2 linked regions of the Nothobranchius furzeri genome follow. The protein of the gene in region 2 purifies or fractionates together with the protein of the main gene of each other region. This does not show direct contact. Links are inferred from orthologs where the notes say so. Each region holds a gene or a part of one and is shown on either strand. Other genes may lie near its edges. The genes, in order: otud5a and zgpat.

What was found.
Region 1: the proteins of zgpat (region 2) and otud5a purify together in Homo sapiens (affinity purification with mass spectrometry; 3 studies listed by BioGRID, with this or other methods). This does not show direct contact. The link is inferred for Nothobranchius furzeri from reciprocal best matches to the Homo sapiens genes ZGPAT and OTUD5.

What each region holds. Positions count from the first base shown.
Region 1 is NC_091755.1:47,047,498-47,051,338, reverse strand, and holds the end of otud5a (OTU domain-containing protein 5-A), read right to left. Parts: intron 3,698-3,841; coding exon 3,633-3,697; intron 3,556-3,632; coding exon 3,399-3,555; intron 3,323-3,398; coding exon 3,174-3,322; intron 3,079-3,173; coding exon 2,893-3,078; intron 2,310-2,892; coding exon 2,105-2,309; intron 1,879-2,104; coding exon 1,807-1,878; intron 676-1,806; coding exon 533-675; 3' UTR 350-532; downstream 1-349. UniProt on the Homo sapiens protein: Deubiquitinating enzyme that functions as a negative regulator of the innate immune system. Has peptidase activity towards 'Lys-48'- and 'Lys-63'-linked polyubiquitin chains. Can also cleave 'Lys-11'-linked ubiquitin chains (in vitro).
Region 2 is NC_091755.1:51,595,825-51,598,333, forward strand, and holds part of zgpat (zinc finger CCCH-type with G patch domain-containing protein), read right to left. Parts: coding exon 2,503-2,509; intron 1,375-2,502; coding exon 1,252-1,374; intron 1-1,251. UniProt on the Homo sapiens protein: Transcription repressor that specifically binds the 5'-GGAG[GA]A[GA]A-3' consensus sequence. Represses transcription by recruiting the chromatin multiprotein complex NuRD to target promoters.

The sequences.
Region 1 (3,841 bases), about 4.5 Mb from region 2:
ATGACAATTTTCTATTTTTCTCCTTTTTTTATTTGTTGCTTTTCTATGATGTCGCTGTGGTCGATTAAACATGCAGCTAAATAAGTCTGATGATGACGGTGATGATGAAGAGGAGTTACAGGCTGAAGGCTTCAGTTCGTCTGATGAAGATGAGCCGCGCTGCTACAACATGGCTGACAGCGGTGGGACAACATGGTGGCTGAGTTCATAAGACTTGTTAGTGGGACGGCCACCGGGTTCTGTTGGGTTGGGGTTGTTCAGCCTGACTGACGAGAGGAGTAAAACTCAAACTGCTGGAAGCTGCTGACTTTAAATAATAACTGATCTCAGATCAGTGGTAAGACCCAGCTGTGTCTGTGAAGTACCAGGAAGTGGGAGGAGCAGGAAGTGAGACAGAGGAAGAGGAAGCTGATGAAAAAAATAAAAAAAAGAGTGCATCGTTGTTGTGTTTGAGCTCTGTCTGAAGGTCAGAGGTGAGGCGGGGGAGGAGGGGGTGAGATGGCAGGGGCCGGAGTTTGGCGTCACCCGGGTATCAGCTGCTGTCGGGCGACGCCTCCCTATCTCGATGCATGGCGGTGCTGGAGGAGCTCTGGTGTTTGATGCTGTCCAGGTATTCCTGCTGGGACACGGCGAGAACCGACGCCAGGATCTCATCGTCCTCCCAGTCCGTCAGACCTGAAACACACACAGCGCCCCCTGCTGTCAGGGTGGACCTTACACACTTTGGTTCCTGATCTAAATGGGTTCTGAGTAACCTTTGACCCAGTCGGGTCCGTCTCCGTGTTCTGGTTCTTCTTCATAGTTGAGTTTAGGTGGTTAGGGTTATTTAATATTAAACAGTTATCCATCCTTCAGCAGGTGTGTCAGGTGACCTGGTAAAGCTGACTAACCCAGGTTAAAAAATGCCTCAAAGACTCAACTTAAAGAATAAAACCAAAGAAAACAACATTTATGTTTTTCAGAATAAAAAAATATTTACTGAATGAAGGCTAATTAAACAAATTCATAAAGATTTTGGTTTAGTTACTGAACACCAACAGGAGTCTACTGGTTGAGCTGGTTCTGGGATTGGTCGGGTTAGTTAACGAAGCAGGAAGTTGGTTTTGAAGTTTCCTTTTCATTTAACCTTCAAAGAGCCGAAGGTTCACGTCTCATATCCGCAGCAGCCAATCAGAAGCGAGTTTACCTGCTGCTTTATTCGCTGCTCATCTTGAAACCAAACCAAAAAAAGGTGAGAACTGTTCAGTTTCAGAACCAGAATACGGACTCTAACGACCCGAACCCAGACAAGAAGCAGAAAACAGGAAGGAGCTCAAACCGAACGGGGGGGGGGGGGGGGGGGGGGGGGGGGTGACAACAAGCCGCCATGACAACAAGCTGCAGAAGCTCAGAGAGGATCGGCAGAATCTGGTTCTCATGATGATGTGGAATTATCTGAGTGTTTACAGACACACGACCGTCCGCTCAGAGACAAACAAAACACAACAAACAGGAACTTCTAATGTTTTGGTCCCTGATATAAACTCAGAGTTGCTCAGAAACACGCACACGCACGCACGCACGCACGCACGCACGCACGCACGCACGCACGCACGCACGCACGCACGCACGCACACACACACACACACACACACACACACACACGCACACACACACACACACACACACACACAATGCTCTGCTCAGCTGCTTCCTGTTGACTCCAGCTGAGGTTTGACTGTAAACAACAGAAGTGACTGACAGCTGTGTCTATCTTTCAGTGTGTGTGTGTAAGTGTGTGTGTGTGTGTGTGTGTAAGTGTCTTACCAAACGCTGTGGGAGACATCTCCTGCATGATGGCTCTGTACTCCAAGTGGTGACGACTCTGATTACTTGGACCTGAGCACAAACACACCAGTCAGGTTCTGCATCAGCTCGGCGCCACTCTGGACTCTGATTCTAACAAACTATCCTTCAGCCCAGACTAGCTGTTAACTGTGACGGGGCCGTTAGCTTGAACTAGCCGTTAGCTGTCAGTTACCATTAGCTTAAAGTAGCCTATCAGTCATCAGCCTCGCACATTAACATTTCTGTGTGTGTGTGTGTGTGTGTGTGTGTCAGTCACCTGGGGCGCAGGGCGATGGCGGTTTGCTCAGGATCAGGGCGGCTCCTGCAGGCGAGGGGGGCTTGTTGTTCGCTGATGAGCTGGTCGTGAGATCAGAGTGAGATGGGTCAGAGTCTCGTTGCCGTGGCGACCGGGCACTCCAGTCGTCTGGGCCGCTGGAGGCTGCTGCCGTTGCCGAGCTGCAGGTGGCGCTGGCCTTACGGGGCTGGAACACATAGAAAGGCCGTGGGATTCGTGACCTTTCTCAGTGGCCTAGTGGTAGAGTGTCCGCCCTGAGACTGGGAGATCAGGGTTCGATTCCTGGTCGGGTCAGACCAAAGACTTTGAAAAAACGGGACCCAATGCCTCCCTGCTTGACACTCAGCATTAAGGGGTTGGATTGGGGGTTTAAACCACCAAATAGTTCCCGAGCGCGGCTTGTCTGCAGCTCACCGCTCCCCCAGGGGATGGGTCGAATGCGGAGAACATTTTTCGCACACACACCTGTGTGTGTGACAACTAATGGGACTTTAACTTCATCTCCAACATCTACGACTAGAACTACAAGCTGCAGAACCACATCAAACCGACCAATCAGACTGAAAACCAGGATGTTTTCTGCTGGTTGCCATAACAACATCTAACAGATGGGTTGGAGACCTCTGATAGGAGACTTTGAAAACACGGTCAAAGTTCACACAACAACCTAGACTTCTGTCCCGCAGAAAGACAGCACGTCAAACTCTGGAATCGTTCCTGAACTTTGACCCGCCAGACTCTGTTTTGGCCTCACTGAGCTGCTCCGGTACCTGTCGGGCCTGTTTCTCCTGGTCCTGGAGCCACTGCAGGTAGGACTCCCGGGCCACCTGCTCCTCGATGGCCTCGTTGGTGGCCTCCCAGTCCGTCGCCCTCTTCTTGTCCTCCAGCATCTGCTGCTCGATCCACGACTCCTCCGACGTCTTTATGGCTGACTTCATCAGAGACTGGTCAGCGTACTACACACACACACACACACACACACACACACACACACATGAAAATGAGGAAACCAGTACGAGCTGGAGGAGATGAGAGATGTGTGTGCTGGTACCCCGGGTTTGAAGGCGGGCAGCCCCAGGCCGACCCCGATCGTGGCCTTGTTTGGGTTCACCACCGAGTTGTAGTGGATGTTACGGTGATAGCTGACTCTGATTGGCTCGTCGTTGTTCTGGTGGATGCCGTGGAATGTGTTGATTGGCTCTGCAGGAGGAAGCGGAGTAAGGTAAGCAAACTACGATGCGATTGGCTGATTGTAAAGCAGGGGGACAGGACTCACCTGTGCTGTACTGGTACACCTCCACTGGCCTGTTGTACATCTCGGCCATGGCCTGCATCTCGATGTGGTTGCCATGGCAATTGTTTTTCCTCTTCCTGTTGATGTATGTGGTGAAGTCTTCTGTCACGTAGTTGGAGAAGTAGTCGGCGTTCTTCACCTGAGCGAGAAAATGTGGTTAAAAACGGGCGACGAGATGAAAGCTCCGGATTTTACAGCAACGAGTCGCTTCCTCACCAGATAGTCCATGCAGTGCTTCCGCACCACCTCGTGCATGTCCTGGTCTCCGTACACCTGATCAGCTGAGGCGCACGCACACACACACACACACACACACACACACAATCATAGTGATATTGTTATTAGCGGAGGTTATCATTGATTTCGTTTTATGAACTTACAGATGTGGACAACATCGTCGGTACCCTTCGGTCAATGAGGGAAAA
Region 2 (2,509 bases):
TGTGGATCTCATGCATGTACATAAGCCGGCTGTTGCAGCGCTCCGCCAATGACGATGGCGACCGTAGATCAAGGCAGATGAAGGAAGCGCAATTTCACAGAAACAGAAACTGAGGTACCTGTGGGTGAGGTGGAGAAATGAAAGGAAGTGCTTTTGCAAAACAAATAAGAGAAAATCCACGGAGCGGCACAGCGTTGCTGAAGCCGTCGATGCTGTGAGTTCTTCAGAGAGATCTGTGGCGGATATAAAAAAAAGTGGTCCAATCGGGATTCGATCCCCAGACTCCCAGGTGAAAGTCAGGCATGCTAACCAGTCAGCCAAACGGAGATCTCCCCTGTACAAGTACACACTGTCACAGACGCATGATGTTCTGTCTCAATCTGTCCCCCTGCTGATATTCTGCACTCCGTATTCTGCGCGTCAGGCTGTGTGAGTGTGCGTGCGCGCGTGTGTGTGTGTGTGAGTGTGCGCGTGTGTGCATGTGGGGGTCTTGTTCTGTGTGAAAACGAAGCGGTACAAGTGATAATGCTGCAGGATTTCATAATTGTATCTTCTCAGCAGCAGCACTGCAGGTGCTCTCCACGTCCAACATGTGCATAAGCCAGGTCCTTAGTCAACTTAAAGTTGCGCACATTTTTCCGCTAAGTTTTCTTTCATAAATCCCAAAGTTTGCGTGGAAAGTTGCTCACGCAGTTTTCCGACCCTGTTTTGTGCATAAACAAGCTTGATGCATGAGACCCCTGATCTTTATTTATTGAAAAAAAGAAAGAGAAAATCTCTTTTTCATATGGAAAACTGTCCCCCCGGGCCGGTCATCAAAGTAAAGGTTTCTTTGAGATTAGGATTATTTTTGTCTGGATCAAGTTAAAACATTTTATTAGGAGACGGACTCGATCTAGATCATCAAACAGCTTTTGCACCAACGATTAGGTTTTATGGATGTAAATGTGCCTTTGAATGTTTGAAACAGTAGAATTACAGGTAGCAATATGTCACGTACTGGCAAGGCAACGCAGCAAACTGCACTGAGCACATCCTCAGCAGAAATGAATTTAAAAGCGCTAAATAGTCAACACGAACACTTTTTTTTATCTCTGTGTGTCATTAATCATCAGCAGCTATTTTATCAGTTTCATTTGTTCATTTGGATTCAGTTTAGTTCGATTCTAAACTAAAAAGAGAGTTTGAAAAAAACAAGAGTATTTCACAGATGACAGGACTTCATAACACCAAATGCATTTGAACTCTCACCTTTGCCATATTCATAGCCCATTTTGAGCATGAGCTTGGATCCGATGCCTCTAGTGTGAGCCTCCCAGCCACCGAAGTTAGCGCTGCTTGATGCTAACGTGGATTCTGTGGCAGAGTCCAGAACTGTGGCGAAAAAAATAACGCAGAAATGTGTAACAACATGTATATTACATTTTTATGTATGTAATATATAAGTGTGTGTGTGTGTATATATATATATATATATATATATATATATATATATATATATATATATATATATATATATATATATATATATATATATATATAGAGAGAGAGAGAGAGAGAGAGAGAGAGAGAGAGTATATACATATATATATACATATATATGTATATATATATACATATATATAGAGTATATACATATATATATACATATATATGTATATATATATACAGTATATATATATATATATATATATATACATATATATATACATATATATACAGTATATATATATATATATATACTGTATATATATGTATATATATATACAGTATATATATATGTATATATATATATACTGTATATATATATATATATATATATACATATATATGTATATATATATAAATAAATATGTGTACACACATATACATATATATGTATATAAGTGTGTGTGTGTGTGTGTATGTATATATATATATATATATATATATATATATATACTTTTTTCAGAATAAGACAAATAATTAAAAATAAAAAAATAATTCCAATATTTAAAAACATAACTCTTAAATTGGTTTAATTCAAGGTGTGTATTCATATTCAAATGTTTAATGTTGATTTTATGTAAAATAGTAAACGGCCTGTATTTGAGTCCTAGAGCCCCCCCCCCCCCCCCCCCCCATGCACTTTACAACTCAATCAGTCATCCACCCACCTACACACACACATGCACACACACATTCACATTTAAAAACACCCTTTCACTCAGTTTAGATAAAAAAGTAAATATTGATGTATACAAATGTTTATATATTTTTTTAATTTTAAATATTTTTTAAAAATATGTTAAAACATAAAAAATATTTTTAAAGCTTAAAATGTAAGGAGGTGTTTATTTATATTTATTGTATATATTTTTTTATATTTTTTACAAATTAAATATGTCTTTTAAAATATAATTACATAATTACTATATTTAAGAACACAACCTTTACATTGGTTTAAGTGAAGGAGGTGTGTTTTTTCATACAGATTCCTTTTATTTAAAATGGTCTTTATACCTTTAGC